Drosophila melanogaster: one gene and its partners. The protein of the gene in region 4 purifies or fractionates together with the protein of the main gene of each other region. This does not show direct contact. Each region holds a gene or a part of one and is shown on either strand. Other genes may lie near its edges. The genes, in order: rst, kibra, kirre and kst.

The links.
Region 1: the proteins of kst (region 4) and rst purify together in Drosophila melanogaster (affinity purification with western blotting, with the first as the bait; one study listed by BioGRID). This does not show direct contact.
Region 2: the proteins of kst (region 4) and kibra purify together in Drosophila melanogaster (affinity purification with western blotting, with the first as the bait; one study listed by BioGRID). This does not show direct contact.
Region 3: the proteins of kst (region 4) and kirre purify together in Drosophila melanogaster (affinity purification with western blotting, with the first as the bait; one study listed by BioGRID). This does not show direct contact.

What each region holds. Positions count from the first base shown.
Region 1 is NC_004354.4:2,970,679-2,975,570, reverse strand, and holds the start of rst (roughest), read left to right. Parts: upstream 1-1,736; 5' UTR 1,737-2,170; intron 2,171-4,892. UniProt on the Drosophila melanogaster protein: Required for correct axonal pathway formation in the optic lobe and for programmed cell death in the developing retina.
Region 2 is NT_033777.3:14,721,169-14,725,970, forward strand, and holds the start of kibra (kibra), read right to left. Parts: upstream 3,094-4,802; 5' UTR 2,406-3,093; coding exon 2,143-2,405; intron 1-2,142. Other genes in the region: CG7530 (uncharacterized protein), read right to left, coding at 3,991-4,221, 4,289-4,762. UniProt on the Drosophila melanogaster protein: Regulator of the Hippo/SWH (Sav/Wts/Hpo) signaling pathway, a signaling pathway that plays a pivotal role in organ size control and tumor suppression by restricting proliferation and promoting apoptosis.
Region 3 is NC_004354.4:2,739,027-2,743,932, reverse strand, and holds the start of kirre (kin of irre), read right to left. Parts: upstream 3,129-4,906; 5' UTR 2,929-3,128; intron 2,777-2,928; 5' UTR 2,689-2,776; intron 2,511-2,688; coding exon of another isoform or gene 2,437-2,510; intron 2,345-2,436; coding exon of another isoform or gene 2,102-2,344; intron 2,036-2,101; coding exon of another isoform or gene 1,942-2,035; intron 1,373-1,941; coding exon of another isoform or gene 1,136-1,372; intron 1,017-1,135; exon of another isoform or gene 975-1,016; intron 483-974; coding exon of another isoform or gene 450-482; exon of another isoform or gene 1-449. Other genes in the region: Syx4 (syntaxin 4), read left to right, coding at 450-482, 1,136-1,372, 1,942-2,035, 2,102-2,344, 2,437-2,510, 4,388-4,636, 4,701-4,772.
Region 4 is NT_037436.4:3,348,528-3,353,275, reverse strand, and holds the start of kst (karst), read right to left. Parts: upstream 3,169-4,748; 5' UTR 3,022-3,168; coding exon 2,940-3,021; intron 1,781-2,939; coding exon 1,590-1,780; intron 1,312-1,589; coding exon 1,144-1,311; intron 1-1,143.

The DNA of each region.
Region 1 (4,892 bases), on a different chromosome or scaffold from region 4:
AGGGGAGCTATCTGAAATATTTAAGGACAAAACTTGTGCATGCATTTCGATTTTATTGGTAATATAGTGTTTCAAAATGCTGCAACAGAAATCCTATCTTGCGAATGGAATTTATGGGATCTGGCTATGAACCTTCTTATCGAGAAAGGCTTTTTGTTATAGTTTGTTGGGGTGTTTATAAACAATTTTGGACTACGCATATGTAGAGGAAATGCCCTGACTATGCAACAACGTTCGCCTTATCTTTCGTCTTTGTGTAAATTTAGAGCGCAATGCATTGATATTCCCATACGGCGGCCATAAATTACATGACAATTACTTGGGGAGCCGAAGAAAATCAGCGGTGCTTGGAAAATCCCCCCTCGAAAAGGCAAGCAATGCGTGGAAAGAGGCGCGAAGAGAGAGCGGAAAATTGGAAGAGAGCCGACACTTCATCACTCGCTCCGAATTTTCCGATTTTCCGGCGGTGCCTCCCTCACACGCGTAGTTTAAATTGCGTTCGCAGCAATCGTGCCATAAATTTCCCTTCCGAAACTTGTTTATTTTGGTCTTGCATGTCTCCAGTGCCGAAATCTTCCCATCCAACAGTCCATCTTCATCGCTGGTAGTATCTTTGTATCTTTTGTATCTCCCTATCTCTCGTGGAGCGCACAGCTTGTGTATCGATTCAATTATGGGAAAACTTAGAATCAACTCATCATGCAGTCGATTGATTAACAAGTCGCACCTAGTAAAATGGCTCCCACAGTGTTTGAGTTTTCAGCTGAGCTTGGCTTTACTACAAGTGTGACATTTGAAATGTTCTTAAGCCAACTAAAATTATGCATGCAGCAAAAAGCGCAGGAATGTTGGCACTTCAAAAAAGGGCTGCTTAATGTAAAAATTAAGCTAATTTAATGATAAATTAATAGCTTCTTTTTGAAAATCATGTTAAACACTTCTCTGTGTGGTTCCCATGGGATTTCCGCCGTTTTGTCAAGCCACAGATTTGGACTTTTTACTCAAATTGCTCTGTAGAGGACCATATGTCGCTCTTCACAGCCCTTCTGGCATTCCACAATCGGAAGAAAGACTGCAGATTTCTACCAAAACGGGAAGAATTGTGGGTGCGAAGAAGGAGGAGAGATTGGTGAACAGCTGCTGTCCCGACAGCATTGACCTCTTGACGGCCAATTCTCCTACTTTATCTCAATCTGCAGTGTTTAAAGGGTTTATACTTTATGTGATCTTTTTTTTTTTGTTTTTTATCTTCTCCGGCAACAGTTGGTGGTCCACACTTTTGGCGGAAGGTGGCGCTGCTAACAGCAAATCAGAGTGCAATTAAGGCCAAAAGACAGATGGCCAAAAATCGTGGCACATCGGCTGGCAATATCCCCAAATTTGCGTGCACAGAAACAAAAAAGATATGTATAGCGAACACTAAATTGATTCGTATAAATAATTTATAATATTTTTTAATATAATTTATACATTGCATCTGAAAACTTATAGTAAATATATGATATGAAAACATATATCCCATATATATGGGAATTTAAAAAAACATTGGCTGCCAAACATAATCCAAATGAATAACAACATAGAACAGAGGTTGCATCGAGCCGCGCTGTTAGCCCTGTTGCATGCTGTTAGAGCCTGAAACACCACTTGCAACATCATCGAACATGTTGCGTCGCTTTGTTTTGTTTGAAGACAAGCCGCGCCGGCCGAAGAAGTCGGATTTTTGGATCGAGTTCGCACTTCGTTCCGTTCGCTCGTACCGTTCGCTTCGTAGCGGCGGAAACTCCGTACTTTCGATAGCTGGTATCTCACAGATACTTTTCGAGACCCCGAAGACGAGAACTCGCATCGCATATTCGCCCGAGAAAACTCTCAGTAAATCTCAGATAATTAAAACGAAATATATAACTAAACGTCAATTTTTTTTTTGGTGCAAACGCAAGCCAAAAAATTTCATTTTGGTGTGGATTACCAGTGGAAAAGTGTGTGCTTAAAATGGAATAAACAAGGCTATCATAAAAACAAAGCCCGAAAAACCAAACAAGCTGAAAATTGTCAACCCAACAATTATGGATTAGTGCCAGTGGCCGGTCAGAGTCAGTTAAAAATATATATGCATATAAGAGGACTAAGGAGCCGAAATTGTTTAAATTGATTACAAACAAACAGTGTGAGTAAAAAAGTTCATCAGTAAAATCTAAAGAAAACTCCTGTGCTTTTGGCTTTTTTCATGCGCCAACTGCAACAGCTGCTCCCTCACTTTGACCTTTTCGTTTGATTTTGTTTATAATATACTGTTACTGGCCAAGTCTCCGCCTCTTTTGGCCCCTCAAAAGTTTCGCTTTTGGCCACTTTGGCATTTGGATTTCGAGTTTGCTTGAGTGTATTTTTTTTTTTTTCGAAGAAAATATATGTGTTTTTAATTGAAAATGGAAGCATGATTTTTGGTTGTAAGTAGACTTTGTTAAAGCAAAATTTATATTTTCCTTTCTGCCTAATGAAATGCCCAATGGCAAGTACTAGTTGCTGAAAATATTAAAATGTAATAAAATATAAAATAAATTAAATTACCATCTTTCGAATAACGTTTAGATCTTATCAATCTGAAAATGAGGTTTATTATACAAAATCTATGTTAAGTTGTATATCACAGATATACTTTCCCCTCTACAATAATAGATCTTCAACTCCAGACCTTGGACACCTAATTAGCTTCTTCTGACCATTCCATCCCTCTGAGCATCTATAGAAAAAAGTGCTCTTCTTAACTGATTCGATCTCTTCTTTCCTTGGTTTTGCATGATTTATGATTTAAAGCAATAACTTTGAAAAACAAAATGTACAAAGCTAGTCAACGATTAGGCATTTCGTAAGCACTTAAGTTGAAAAATTAATATTAAATGTATAGAATGATTTTTTGTTCGTATACAAGTATGTACACAAACAAAAAATCTACTTGAATATATGCTAAACAATGCTAAAATCATTCTGAATAATTTACGGCAAACGATAAACTTTAATGAGTATAACATTCAACTTCAAGTTTTAATCTACATAATAGGCAATGTATATTAAATGTGCGCTTTGGTGTAATTCTTTAATGCGTATATTTATTTATAACATTCGAATGGTATACCTATTTCAATGGTTTATTTCTGACATTTATGGATTAATTCATTTGGTTTTAAGTAAATAAATTTGCAAATACATTTAATTCCTTTTGTCATTGATTAAGTGAAATGCCAGTAATTCGACTCTCTTATTGACACATTCAAAAATCATAAATCAATTATTCCAAATCCAATAGAAATTTATTTATTACTCATAAAATTTTTCTCTGTGTAACTCCCCCCAGCTGTAAGCGAAGAAAATGTTGCTAGCGGCTGTGGTGTTAAAGAACAGAAATGCGAGCTAAAGAAGCTGAAGGCCCAGAAGCTTTACCAATACATCGATACATTGCACACAGATACTCAAACATCTGCAAATGCATATACAAGCGTATCTTCAGACTCACGCACCTGTCCCTTGTCATTAAAAAAGCAAGCAAAGTTTCAATCTTCTTTGGCAAGCTAACCTTTTACTTACTCTGCTCCATCCTCTGGGTTCATATATGTCGCATGATAAACACCGGAAAAATATTGATTGGCTGGGAGATTTGCTAAAGCACGATTAAGAAAACTAGTCTCAAAAAAAGTTAGTCTTTGACCAGAAAAAGTATTTGTTCTTTTTTTTTTTAATTGAAATTAACTTATTTTCATACTTATTTATCTTGATTGAAGCTCCTATAAATTCATTTTGAATAACGTTATTAAGTTTTTTGGTTTGAAAACAAAAAGAAAAAATATTTTTAAAGTGTATTTGGGAACGTGTGTGTAGCTTTTGGATTTTATAATTTGGCCCAATTTGCTGGCATTGCAAATTGCTAAAAACGTCTGAAACAATCGACAGGAGGAAATTGGGGAGTGTGGGAAAAGGATGGCAAAAGAGGCGTTCGGTAGGCGTGGCAGGAAGTGCAACATGCTCATGTCGCAAGTTGTTGCTGCCGCCTGTATTTCTCCTGCACTTTTTGTTGCTGTGTTATCGATTGGCGAGGCCGCATTTGTTGGATCGTTTTGACGCGTCCTCGTCAGCATGTCGAAACTTATTTTTCCTTTTCAATTTCGCCCTGCGATTTTGCATTTTTTTTGTTTTTTTTTTTTCGCCTGCCTGTCGCTTTGTTAGTTCTTTGCATGCCACAAATTATGTTCGTCACCCCCTTTTGCCCCACCGCGCTGGATGGATTACCTTGAGAGCGGAGCTGTCAGGCTTTTTGACAGTTTCTGCCGTATCGGTTCCACCGATTTGACTGCTGCGCTCATCCGTTTTGCCTGTTTTTTTTTTTTGTTTAAGAAAGTGCTTCGTTTAATGAATAATTGGTATTTTATATCATTTAGGTACAATAAGAAAAGACTTATTGCCTGGTATTTGCATCTGCCAGCTAATTTCTCATCTCATCTCTAAAAAGAAATGCAGACGAGGGCATTCGAAAGGCAAGCAATTTATCCCTTGGTTAATTTGGTTAATTGAAGACAATTGAGGGCCGCTTTGCAGTTCATTAAGCCTCATCAGCGTTGAGAAATGGGGCCCAGAATCCAGAAGTCCAGAAGTCCGAATCCCAGATCCAGTTCCATCTATACTTTCCATTTCCAGATCTGTTGTCTTGTCGCCAGACTAATTAAAATATTTGCACTCAAATGCTTAAGCAATAAATATTTGTCAAGCCATCATCATTAGGAGGAGGCTATAAGGGGGGGGGGTTCTGACCTCAAAACATGGCACTCCACTTTCTGGGGTGGGGGCAAAATGGAAATGGAAAATGAAAATCTATGAGAGGCGGCATTTTTAAAGTGCGC
Region 2 (4,802 bases), on a different chromosome or scaffold from region 4:
TATTTCAAGGGTATCGATAATTCGACCTTGCATGCTCATATTGGAATAGATATTTATTTTTTCTGTGATTTCTGTTGGCTGTGCTCGAAACGTGGCGAGGCCTTTAAAGGTTGCCCGAGGCCTGGCTCGCTTCGCTTTATTGTAGAAATTTATTTATGGTTTATTGGAATTTTTGCGCGCTACCGGCAGCAATTTTGAAAATTCAATAGCAATAGCAAGTTGGATGCGGGGGATCGATAGACAGCCGAAGAGGGGACCAAAAAGCGTATATGATTTGGATACAAAATATGCGCGACTGGGCAAAATACCAATAAGGGGTGTATACAGCATTAAATAGTTTTGTTTGGTCAATAGAAATGGTAAAACTATTTTGGAAAAATATGGAATAGTTAGTTAAATTCGAAGACATACTTTGCAGATGTATACAGAAAATACCAATAAAACATTTACTCTTGTTTTTATTTCTTATATTCTATGGTATCCCTCTTCATAATCTGATTGGTTTTTCAAATAGTAAGTAAATCCCCTAAGGTCATTTAAGCTTTAAATTTCTATAACCCCGAAATCGGAACGTAACGCTCATAGATCGCTGACTTTTTGTGCCCACTGGCAGACATTTGAACGACATGTGTGCATTTATAATCTACTTGATGCATAACCCTAGCAAATGCGCAGATGTTTCGTTTCAATTTCAAAGGCGGGCGGGCGGAAGAGCTGAAATTCCACAACGCTTAATTCAGTGAAACATTTTCAACAATGTCCATGCGATTTGAAACAAACAAAGGGAATGTTTGTGTTAATTGAAAGCGTGAAGCGCACACAGCACCAAACGAACTGAAACAATAAGGCGTACACAGATAGAAATGCACTGGAAAAAATTAATATTCAAGCTTTGATGGCTTAATAAATCATTTGCAACGTGATATTGAAATTATAGAGTGTGTCTAATGTCAATGAAAATGCTGTACAACTGCAGAAAGGCAATAAGCATTTGCTATCGAGCAATTGAAGATACAAAATCCATCTAACACTACACATTTCTCTATCTGTGAAAAGCGAAAAATTGAACTCAGCGAAAGAGAGGGCGAAGAATTTCAGAAATCAATTATTTCGAAACTGCAAAAATTCCTACGTACATTTTGCAATTGTTTATGGGCAAAGCAACAGACAGAGATGGCGAGTGGGGCGGCAGCGAGGGGCGCGAGCGAGATGGAAGACAAAAAATGTGAGCGAACGGCAAACTAAAATGTATCTATGAGATACATGGCCTGATCGCCAGCGCTCTCGCTCGCTCTCCTTTGGCTCTCTCGCACTCATTACGTATGAGTTTGTTGGTTTTGTTTTCCTTTTATTTTACAGATCATTCGCCGAGCTTTATTTAACTTTTGCTCTCTCTCACTCGAATTTTTGTTGTTGTATTTCCCTGGCTTTACAATCCATTTTTTGTTTGTTGCCACTCTCTGTTCAGTTCAGTTATATTCGGAGTCTTAATCATCGCATCGGAATGTTTACTCCAAGTTTTTCCCCCGTTCCGTTGCGTTTTGTTTTGCCTGCTGCCGCTGCTGTCTTGTTTAAAATATGTAATTTATTTTGCTGCTGCCTCTTTATTTTATTTTCCTTTTATTTTTCTTTTTTTTTTTTGCTTCATTTCGCCTCCACCGATCGCATTCCTTTACACACACAGCTGCAGCACGCACCTTTTCTTTCCGGTTCAAGAGCGCTTCGGAATCGGAATTTATATGGGTTTTTTTTTTAGCTCGTTTGCCGGAGCTTCCTGAATGAGTGAACTGCTGATCTCTCACCTGCGTTTTATGCCTTCTTAAGCCACTAACAACTTGCCAAGAATTTTATTCTATTTTAATTTGATTCTCAATGAGTTATCTGCTTCACTTATTAGCCATTAAGCAGCAATTGGGGTTTATAAGCACTCTTGATAGTTTGCGATGTTAAAGCATCTATAACTTATTTAAAACACAACCTGTTGGTTTGGTCATTCGTTATGTATGCCTCATTTCTGATAATTGTTCTAGTAGTTTTAATAAGTTTAAACTAACTTTCCAAATGCAAATATCTTATAATTATATTTCAGATCGCCCTTGTTTCAATTTCGTTTCTTTAATTGACCCTTTCCGGAACACTTACCAATCTCTGGGATCCAGCCAGGTGGTCTTCTTGTTGATATGATCTATGTAATAGGTCTTGCCATCGAAATCCTTGGCGATATCCCAGCCATCGGGAAGTGGGAAGTCGCTGTGGTGTTGTTGCTGCTGCTGATGATGCGTGTGTTGTTGTTGTTGCTGTTGTTGATGATGATGATGATGTTGCTGTTGCTGCTGTTGGGGTCGCAGGTGGTGGGGATGCAGATGATGCTGCGATTGCGATGCGGTTTGTTGCAGATTCGGCATTTTAACTTTGTTTCTCGCCGTGTACTTTGGTTAGTCTGAGAAAACGTCGTTGTTGCTGGATTTTTCACCCGACGCGCGCCTTTTCTTTCTTTTCGCTATTGCTATCTACGTTTGCTTCTTTTTTCGGGGGGTTTCTCTTTGCGCTGTTTACATTAGCAAAGACATTTCAATTCCGTTTCTTTTGCTCCGGCGATAATGGAGACCGACCCGCACACACACACACACAACACGGCCACACGGTGACGGGCGTAGAGGCACACACCGAGCCAACTCGAATACACACGCGCGCAGGGGAGAGAGAGCGGGAGAGCGCGGGCGCGCTCTCAATTATTTATTTACTTTTTTCGTAACTGCATTCCATTCCAGCTCAAACACACGCACACATATGGGGGACGAACACAAGCGCACACGATCACTGCTCACAGTTGGTGCTGCTTCTTTTCATTTCTTGTTGTTGCAAGCGTTTGAACTCCTTTACTTATTTTCTTATTTTCGCCTAATTGAAACTAATTAACGACGATAATCCAACCATCCACTTGGTGTTCACAAAAAAATATGTACTTCAGTTTAGTGAGTTCGCGCCGTCGCCGATCTCTTCGGTTCCGGAATTCCTTGGGGGAGCAGCAAAAAACACGAGTAGCGCGCTTGATGACCGTCCGATTCGGATTCGGAATTTGTTTTGGTAACATTCGCTGCTAGTGGTGTAGCAGAAAACATCGCATTGCATATCGATACACTCGCGGCGATGTTATTCGATGTATTGGTTGATATCGATATTATAGGCTGTATTGACGCGGTTGCAGAGATGCGATATTTAACAATCATGCACGAAAAGTATTTATTGTTATTTGGCTTGTGTAGTCCCCAAGCATAGGTGTAATTGTTGAGGGAAGAAAATAGGAGTTGTACGTTCAAAGATCGGCTTGGTAACAGGAACTAGTTCGGTTCTTCAAGCGATGTTAATCAAAGCCAGTTCCGATAGATCATGTTAACTCGCTCTGTTAACAATTACTGTTATCTTAATCCTAACATTTCCGTTACATTTTAAAAACAGAAAAAGAAAAAATTTAAAAAAAAAGACTGTAAACTGAGTTACGCATTTCGAAATCAATATGTATCCCAACCATAGATAGAAAAATAAATTATGTTTCCGAAACATAACTTCAATAAAACCACAATTTCGCTTGCTTTGTACGTTTGATATTGTATTTGCATTTTATGAATTGTAAAAATTGAGTCAACAAGACTAACACAGCTTCAGCTCAAGACACATGCAATTTCATTGACATTGTTTAATTGTATATATTAAAGGAAATCAATTAGGATATAAAGAGAGAAACCTTTTTGCCGCTTATGCGATGCCAACTATCTGGATCTGGATTGTCTAACACGAAACCCTAACTAATTGGTAAATTAAACATAAATTAATCATATCGGTCAACAACTACAACTAAATATTAGTTATTAGCGGATAAAGAGCGCCCCATAAACTATTTACACTAAGCTTTAGTCTACTAGAGTCCCGGATTCCATCTCCGCTCCTCGGATCTTCGGATCTTAACTCAGATGTTCGGATCTTCAAGTTCTAGGAGAGAACTGGTGCAGTGCATCCGTTATTCAGGCGATACTCGGCATAGACCAGTCCGGTGTTGTGCCAGTGATAGAAGGCGGCCACGATGATCAGGTGCCACCAGTTGTGCGAATGCCCAACGAAGTCCACCTTGCCGGTGAACCAGCGCTCCGGAATCTTGGCCGCATAGAAAACGAAGGCGACGAGGCAGAGCAAGTACATGAGCACGATGCGGGGCACCATCAGCTGCAAATGGTAATGATTGATGGATTAGCAAATGACAAGATTCCATAAATTTCCAACTGATGCCTACCCTGACTAGCTCGTTCTCCAGACCGCCCATGGCCACCGCCCAGTGGCCCAGAGGTATGATTCCATAGGCAGACCAGAGTAGCAGCACCGCCACCTTGCCGTTCATGGACACATTCAAACGGGGTATCTGCACGGCAATGGCCAGTGCGAACATGCCCAGTGCAATCGTGGAGTACAGGGTGCGCAGGAAGGTGTGGCACCAGAAGGCATAGTACATGCCACTGATATAGATGGCCACCAGCGACAGCGAAATGCCCAGGAAGTCAACGGACAGAAAGAGCTCGTAGTGCTCCTCCGATTTGCAGGAGAAGATGTGGTATATGGCGGACATCAGCATGCACAGACAGAAGCAGACCAGCAGGCAGACCACCAGCACCTGGTCGCTCAGGGAGGCGTGGAGGCGCAGGAACTGCAGATCGAAGATGGTCAGTCCAATGAACAGGATGCAACCGGCCAGATGGCTCCAGATGTTGATCTATGAAAAATATAGCAATAATAATGTTATAATAATAGGG
Region 3 (4,906 bases), on a different chromosome or scaffold from region 4:
TTTTTTGTGTTTGTGTGTGTGTGCAACAAAAGAGCGAGTAAGAGAGCAAAGAGCCGCCAATAAATGGCAAATATGTGATAGGTGATAATCTGTGTTTAGGCCTTTCTGACTGTCCCTCTCTCTCTCTCTCTCTCTCTCCATGACTTTCCACCCCGCCCTGTCGCTTTCCGAAGGGCAGACGGTAAATATTAGGCGGCTCTTATCAGAAACTTGTGCGCTGATAAGCTTTGATAGCAGGTTTCGCTCTCTCCTGCGCTCTCAATCAAATTTTCCCATTCGCGAACAGCTGTTGGAGGCAACGGCAACAACAAACCAGGAACAAAGCTCAGAAGCTGCTGTAAAGGATATAAAGTGGACATTTTGGAGTACTGGAAAGGAATTCAAGGAATTGGCATAAATTTGGCATATAATTGGCATAATTCAAACCAAAGGCAGTCCAAGTTGCAGAAATGGGTAAAGATCGACTGCCCGAGCTTTTGCAGGTAAGAAAATATTAGAAACGTGGGTGGTTGGTTGGGAGGTTGGGATGAGGTAACTGCTAATTAGTTTGAAGCACAGTGGTTTGGCATCACTCAAACCGCAATACGAATAAAATCTACTTAACACGATGAAATACATTTGGTGGTATTTGCCAGGAAAAGGATTCCACTTTTCTCGGTAAAAAGTAATCCTAATCAAAGTTTTTTTTTTTTTTGCGGCACGTTGAAACACATTCTGACCAAGGTGCTGCCACCTTCTTTACAATTGGCCCAATCTCTCACATTTCTGTTGGCGCTTTTGGCACTATTTCGACTTGTGAGCCAAGGGGGTTTGGTGGGTGTTCGCTATGGCATTTATCAGATCGGCCAGAGATAACGACGATAATGTGGCCACACATCACACTTACGGGGCAACCCCGCGTTTCCGCCGACAAACTTTTAGCACCAAGTGAATTTCAGTACCGAAGTCATTTTTATAGTTCATTTACACCGCGCCAGATTGTGAACACACAAACGTAAATAAACTCAACCAAAGTTGTTAGTTTCAATTTAGTTTTTTCTCAGTTTTTCCCTGCAGTTCGTTAGGATCGCATGGACCTATTTTATTTTTATTTATTTATTTTTTTTTCTTCTCATTTTTGCTGTACTAATTCCAGCGCTCATTGAGCACGAACTCGTCGAACTCGTCGTCGAACGGTTCACTGCTTTTGAACGTGTACAGTGGAACCACGGAGTTCATCATTGGCAACACCGGCGGTAACAATAATAGCTACAGTGTCGTTAGCCAAAACTCTCACAGCTGCAGCAACAATAACAGCAGCACCGAACCCAAGGATCGGTCCAGTTCAAAGATGACGCAGTATGGCTCGAATGTGGATGACATACTCAATCCGGTGAGTTTAAGGATCGAAGTGTATACAAAACACAACTTCAGAATTCATACAAGTTTTTACTATTATTGAGTATTGAAATAGTTAATAGAAGAAACTTTAACTCCTAAGATAGCTATCTTGAAAGTTATAAATACTTAGCGAAGCAAGAACATACAACAGAAAGCAGCTAATATCTAGCATAGTTAAACGTTTCCCCTCAATGGAAATAAAAGATCAGAGAGCCGGAGAGAGGGAAACCCTTTTTTTCTTTTTTATGGCTTACCCACACATGTGTGCACTTATGAATCAGCTGTATTACTCAATCGCTGCCGGCGTAGCGCGAAAACTCGTGATAAGTCCAGAAAAAAAAAAAAACATTTTCTCATTAAATACGTTTTTTATTGTGGTTAAGAGAGCGGACGAAGAGAAGGCAAGTAGTCGCCATGTAAACGTAAACAACGGTAGACAACTCTTGCAAAGCAAAAAAGCAATACAAGCACTGCTTCCTCCTGAGCAAGGAAATGTACTGGAAATGCAATGGAAGTGAATATACGATTTTAATAGATTTTTACGGTATCCTTCCTTTTCAGTACACGGAGATTCGCCAACAACTCGCACAGATAGCCGCCAACTTGGAGACGATGAACCGCATGGCCCAAACTGTCAATCTGCGAACTTTCAACGGTAAGAATTTGAATCTAAAGTTGTGAATACTTCCACTGCATCACGGTCTAAATCCAATTCGCACAGAGAACGAGATGGATGAGCTTCACAACAAAAACCTGAGGCTGGGCAATCAGCTAATGACGCGATTCAACGACTTCAAGGCGAATCTGCCGGCGGAAAACGATTACAGCTTGGAGGCAAGGATGAAAAGAACCCTTTTCTATGGACTCCACCAGACTTTCATCAATCTGTGGCACAAAAACGAACTATTCCTGCAGAACTACGAGACCAAGGTCAAAAAGAATCTGAGACTGCATACAAAAATCAGTAAGTGTGATACAAAATGGACGAGTCTGATTAAATGCTTTGCAACTATTACATTATTTTGTTTAAGAACTTCGTTACAATCTACTTTTTAGTTAATTCTGAAGCCAGCGAACAAGAAATCGAGTTACTCATCGAGAACAAGACAACCAAACTCTTTGTGGATAATGTGAGTAAAGAAAGAATTATACAAACAACTAAGTCTTCTGTCTGATATGATTCCTTATCAAAGGTTTCATAAACATATATATTTTAATATGTTCGGCATTTAGTATGTAGTTTAAATGACATTTTATACAATCTAGGACTATTAGCTACTAAATATTACTCAGTAGAGCGCAACTCACCTCGATGTTGTATTCATTTTTCATTTCATTTGACTTTATCGCATCTATAATTTGCGAGACGATCATTTTCATATCACTTTAAGTAAAGCTTTACACAGAAAAAAAAAAAATTTGGGATTTTAATAGCTAATAGGATATAATCACTTTCGCAACTTTTTCAACACTGGAACACCATAAAAAAAATGAAAAAAAAAACACTGAAGCTCATTTGGTGTAACACCCACACACCTTCATACATACATACATATGTATGAAATTATTTTGCTCAAACGCAAAATTACCGCGAATTTAGGAAAAAAAATGCTTCGTATCACAATGCCTATACTCGCATTTACTCGAGTAACAGCACTAAACAACGGTAAATTCAATAAACTTAATTTCGCGGTGCGCAGTTAAAAAACACGTGCGTATGTCGATGCTCACGAAGAAGAAGGAAAGAGGAAGTTTAAACAGGGAATGATCAAGGGCCAACGGTAAATCAAACTCATACATACTCTCTCTGTTTCCCGCTGTTGTATTAACATCATCTATTAGTTAATGAGGCTGTTAAATAAGGCATTATGTTCTGCAATACAGATTATCACATACGTTGATTAATTATATTGGTTGAGTGGTTAGGCTATACATTTTTATATTGAATAGAATATATTTTCAAACTCAGTGGTTCACCATCAAAAAATATAAAAAAAGAAGTGGAAGCTAATTTACCGCAACACACACATTACATTACATACATGTGTAAATAGATGTTAGCACACACATTCTATACATACAAACATATTTCGCGCGCCATTGAAAACGCAAAATTACAGCGAATTTAGGAAGAAAAACGCGCAAATGCTTCGCATCACAATGCGCATACTCGCATTTACTCAAGTAACACTTTTCACCATCTAAAGATCGTTGAATTCAATAAACTTTATTTCGCGGCGCGCAGTTAAAAAACACGTGCGTATGTCGATGCTCGGGAAGAAGAAGGAATGAGGAAGATTTAAACAGGGAATGATCAAGGGCCAACGGTAAATCAAACTCATATGCACTCTCTCTGTTTGCCGCTGTTGTTTTAACATCATCTATTAGTTAATGAGGATGTTAAATAAAGCATTATGTTCTGCAATACAGATTATCACGTACATAGATTAATTACATTAGCCGTATAGCTAAGCTATACATATTTATATATATAATAGAAACTCAGTGGTTCACCATAAAAAAAAAGTGGAAGCTTATTTAGCGCAACACACACATTGTGTATGTTCATACATACATATGTAAATGCGGATTTTAGCGCGCACATTCTATACACACAAACATATTTCGCGCGCCATTGAAAACGCCAAATTACCGCGAACTTAGAAAGAAAAAGCGCGCAAATGCTTCGTATCACAATGCCGATACTTACATTTACATCTAAACCATGTTAAATACAACAAACCTCATTTCGCGACGCACAATTAAAAATCACGTGCGTATTTGGATGTGGCTGAGAAAAAGGGAAGAGGAAGACTTGAAGAGAAAACGATCAAGGACCAACGGTAAATCAATAAAATAAGATCTTCACCCGCCCTTTCTAACATTCTCTGTTAATTAACCTTCAATTTAACACAAAATGTAAAGATCAAAAGGTATTTGTATTGCAAATAGTAAATAAATGTAGACATTTGCTTAATCTTTATAATAACAATTTTTGTATTTTTAGTTTCTGCAGGAAACGGAAAAGGAGCGGCAGACACTGCGCGAAATGATGGATCGATTCAACGAGCTGCGCCGCCTGGAGAAGTCCATCGAGGAGGTGCACGCCCTGTTCATGCGCATCCAGACCCTGGTAATGGAGCAGAGCGAGGTGATCCAGCGGGTGGAGTTTCACGCCCAGCAGGCCACGCTCCACGTGGACAAGGGCGCCGACGAGCTGGACCAGGCGGAGCAGCACCAGAAGAAGGCGCGCAAGGTGGGCACACTGCGAATCCCCGAGAGCGTTGGGTTCTAAAAGGCATTTTCCCTTGTATTTGCAGAAAAAGATAATGCTCATCGTGATACTCGCAGCCGTGTTGCTAGTATTACTCCTTGTTGGTATTTATTTGTGATGCACGCGAGAAACTTTATTTTTTTGGCCTATTTTTAAAATTTATACGTAAGAAAATAAACTTTAAAACCTCAAGAAGAATTTTTGCAATTAATCAACAGGTAAAGGAAATCAATAAAAGCTTATGCTATTGAG
Region 4 (4,748 bases):
TTTAAGAACCAATTACGGCTTCTTTTTAAATTCATAGCAGATAAAGGGGAATCTGGAGGTGGGTTAATCATAGATTTATGATCGATTTTGTGCATATTTATAGGAATTTAAATAGTATTGTCAAAATCATAAATTATATATACATTTATAATTTATGTATGGCAGATTATCGTTTTTAATAGTTCATAAGAAGGCAGTAAGCTAACTTTATTCCTATTCCCCGACAAACCGTTTGCTTTAATAGACTCGTTCCGAGTTATTCTGGTACATTAATGTTTAGTAGGGAGCTACGCCTTTTGGTTCTCCTAATGGCGACTGGAAATTCCAAGAGTCGTGCTCCGCTAAACGCTTCAATGAGTCCCCAAGGGATCCTCCATCGAATGCTCGCTTGTGCGTAAATCTTTCGCTCGGGCTTCTTTCAAGCCTAAACACCAATTAAAATGCACTCAATACCCGTGTCACACACAAAAGACAAGCCCGAAAAACAAATGAAATACGAAATGGAATGAAATGAAATGGTGAAAAGTAAAACCGAAAACTTTCACTGCTTCGCCGCTTAAGAAACAAAGTGAATTAGTTGGACAGTGGGACAATTTGATGCGTTTTAATTGCTTCTAATTAGATTAGACCAGAGGCACCTGACTAGCCAGAAGATTCGAAACTATGTCGCACGCTAAGCTCCCACTTTGCTCAATTAAAATCAAATGCGCACGAGAGGTGCAAAGAAAGTACACATGTATAGTATGAGCGCGGCAGTGGAAAATGTGCCAAGCGCAACAAAGTGAAGTGAAGTCAAGGAAAAAATGCATTAGAAAGTATGCAAATATTTCAGATATTGCCAAGAAAACGCGGTGCCCAGGCTAGGTAATTAAATATATACTTTTTCGCCATGTCTTGACGTCGCCTCACACTTCCCGCTTCCCCGAGATCCGAAATCCCGACTCCAACAGCCAGATCCGTGCACCTCATATGGCAAACAAAGCACGCAATGGCCACGCGCAGCTGCGCAGGCGCGACTTGCACTTTCTACAAATGCGTAGAGAGCTTTACACTCTCCAGTCTTCAGTCTTCGGTCTTTGGTCTTCCAGCAACTGCAACGCCTTCACTCCCTTCACTCGCCGCCATTTATGTGGCATATCTCACCTTGGTGTGCAAGAATGCCAGACTCTTGTTGACATTTTCGATTTTATGGACGCGCATGCGTCCGCTGTTCGGCTTGCCCAGTTTCTCCGACGATATGATCTCCAGCAGCTTCAGCAGCTTGATGCCATCGGCCAGGTCTGTGAATAGGTCTTCGACCTCCATTTTGGCCTACAAAGAAGACGATAAGCCCAAATGTGAGTTGCATTCATAAATTGGTGGGGCCATAAAAGTTTCTTCCAATCAAAATTTCAAGTGAATGTATAATTTCGAATGTCATATACATATGGCGCTTTCATTTGAATACATCACTTTGATCGAGAAATTATAGTATTTAAACAATGAAAACTTTATGTGCTTAGCAAAACAAAGCATTTCTTTCATTTGTACTTTATAGTAATTAAATTACAAGTATTGGGAGTGATGAGTGACTCAAGTAGTTTACACACCTTGATCAGAAACGAGTTCATCCATTTTGTGAATGTCTTCTTCTGGATGTGCAAGCGCTCCTCCTGCAGCGTTTTGATCCGCTCGTTCTCGAACTTGATGATGCCGTCCCGCTGGGTCATGTTGGCGGAGTTGCGATTGGAAGGCGTCGGTGTCTGCAGCGCGGAGTAGCCTCCCGGCTCATATTGTGATGCTAAGTGGGGGGAAGGGAGGAGGAACAAAAATCTCGGATTAGTTCGAAGTCATATAAATGCAACGCGAAACGTTTAGGCTTAGTGTTTGTTTTGATTTTTTTTCATTTTTTTTGTATTTTTTTCCAGGAAAGAGAAATGGGCAAACCACCTGACAACAGACCAAAATCAATAATGGGCATAGGGAAAATAGAGGAAAAATACGAAAGGTATGTGGCAGAGATAGGGAAAGCACGACCGTGACGTACGAACCTATTGATTTAGAGATAACGAGTTATCGCCAACATAATTGCCTCTATAAAAAAATCCCTGGCTAAAGTTAGAACCACATTCCAAGGCAGTTTATTTGTAGTCTTTCGATTATGTCAAACGTAATTCCTAATTTTAAATCATTCCATCAGTGGGTTCCCATAATGTCAAAGATTACCAACGGGTATTTCAAACGAAGAACCAACAATCACTTTTTATTCGAACGCCTCATCACGTACTTTTGTTTTCTAGACCCGTTAAGATAAGCCATGTGTCGATTGGCGTTTCACATTTAGATCTTAGCTGAACAAAATTGTGAACACCTTTTTGAGTAAGCTTGATAGTGAATTTTAAAATATAGTGAAAGATTTTTAAGATGTAGAAATTAGCAATCTGTTGCTTTATTTCAAGTAACTTTACCTCATGAAAGAGTAAGGTATCTTTAAATTTCTTTTGCTAACAAGTGTAAGATAATTTCAACTCTACCAACTATAAACAAACCAAGCTGTGACCAACTTTCCAACCCAGTAGATATACCCCCAGCTAGCGTATCGAAATCAAAACAGTCGCTGCCCAGCGATAGTGGTTCTGCGAGCTTATCTGTCGACTGCCAAAATTACTTCATACCTATGGAAAATGCTTCACGACTTTGTTACTTTTTTTTTATCAACGGTTCGTTTTACGTAATACTGGACAAGAGAATATGTTAAAAAGTGAACAAAATTGGAGCGGAAACTGCAGAAAGCGAAACCATTTTTCTAGGCCGTTGACTCATTTGCCAAATATTTGCGCTCTTATCAACCAAATATGAAGTTCCACCCAACTGAGATAGATAAGAGCAGGTTACTTTCGTTTCGGGATTGTATAATGATCGCGAGCTTCCAGGGGAAAAGTTCAAGTTCAGAAACCTACCCAACGATTGGCGTTCGTAGGATATATATCGGCGATACTCGTTGCGCGAGAAATTCGAGCGCAGAACACTATTGTACTCCATGGCCTTTGATCAGTGATTTCTAGGGTGTTTCTCAAGATATCCGGGCTTTCAGCACCGAGTGCCGTTCCTTAAAGCTAATCTTTCGTTTTTTATTTCTATTTTGTATTTCGACACTAAGTTTCGTTCCTACGGTCAGATGTTCGCAGAGCCCGCGCCGTTTGGTCACTAAAAACAATGTGTGCCCAACATTTTGCACGCCCCAAAAATGTAGAGTGGGGGAAAGCTTCCTCCCCCTCTTGGCTCTGTTTATCAGATGAATTAAAAGCCAAATGCCAAGAGTGGCAACAAAAATGCTTCAACTGGCCTATGGTGAATTCCCTTTATCGCACGAGCTGATAGCAGTATGAGAAAACGGTTAAGGTATCTGAAAATCCTTGCCTTGACAAACAGCCAATAGACCCTGTCGGCTTATCTTATCGGTCCATAAATCCCGCATACCTCGGACATATGTTTTTCGGAATAAATACATATATATAGAGGGGAATGCACTTCCAATATCAAGTTATTTATGGCGCCCTATCAGATTCCGCAGACTAATGAATGGGCCATTTAGAATAGCTGCCAAATTCGATCATTCCCAATGACATCATGCCAAAGAGTTATAATCTGCTGTCTACTCGGGTCGGGTGTCATAACTCCGCTAATAGATCATTTACTATACATATGTGCCGCCAATGGCGTTGAGGTCACCTGGAAGGCATTCGCGGCTAATTGGCAAACAGAACACTTCGCTTTCGCAAATAGAAAAATCAATTAAAAAGAGGTGAAAACTAAACAATAAAAAACCAACAACACCAGTGTGACAATAAACTTTACCATACCGCGATAACGTTCGACGCTTATCATTATCGAGTGGCAAACAAAACCTAGAAAATGCAGAGTGCGGCATAACTTTAGGCTTAGCAGGAAAAGCAATTAAAACTGTGCCTCCTTGATCCCCAAAATAGAACGCATCCCCCAACTCACATACAGCTGTCTTTGGCCATAAACTATTTATACAACTAAAGTCGCCGGAAAAGGACGGCAGAGGCAAAGTCAGGGGCAAATGCGAACCGAGGCTCGAATTCCGGGCATCCTGTTTACTTCAATTGTGATACAACATGGTAGCACAGCACATGCGCGGCAGCTGGGAGCAGGAACACTCGGATTCCGCGCCTCTTTCTATTTATAAACCACCACACTTCACTCATCGCAAACACTTTGAAAACGATTTTTATAGATTTTCAACTTCTTCGGTGTTCTCTAGATCTTGTGTGTTCCACATACACGGTTAGCTAATGAACAAGGCGTGCAACAACCTCGGAGTTGTGTAAGAATTTGCATAAATCAATAAACATTTAGCATTTTGTATGCTTAATTTTTATGGCCCATACGCTAAGTCACACATATCATTTAGCAAATCCCGAATTAAATGATACTTTAAAGTATATCAAAAAGAAGTTAGGCATCTTTTTTTGGCAACCTTTTTCTACTCAGATAACATCCGAGGTAGTTACCGATTTTAATTACTTTTGCGTGAGTGATGGCATATGTCTGATAAAAGCGTAGTTTTTCAGCCATCTCCGCTTTGAACCGAAAATAATGAGACCTATAGCTCGGCAAATTAGGGAATTGGTGGTCTTTGTTGTCAAAAATTTCTACGCATAAAATTACCTCATCAGTGGCTGGAAATTAAAATTCAGTTTTGGCCTCAGTCGAAAAGAAGAATACAGATTGACACAACACAA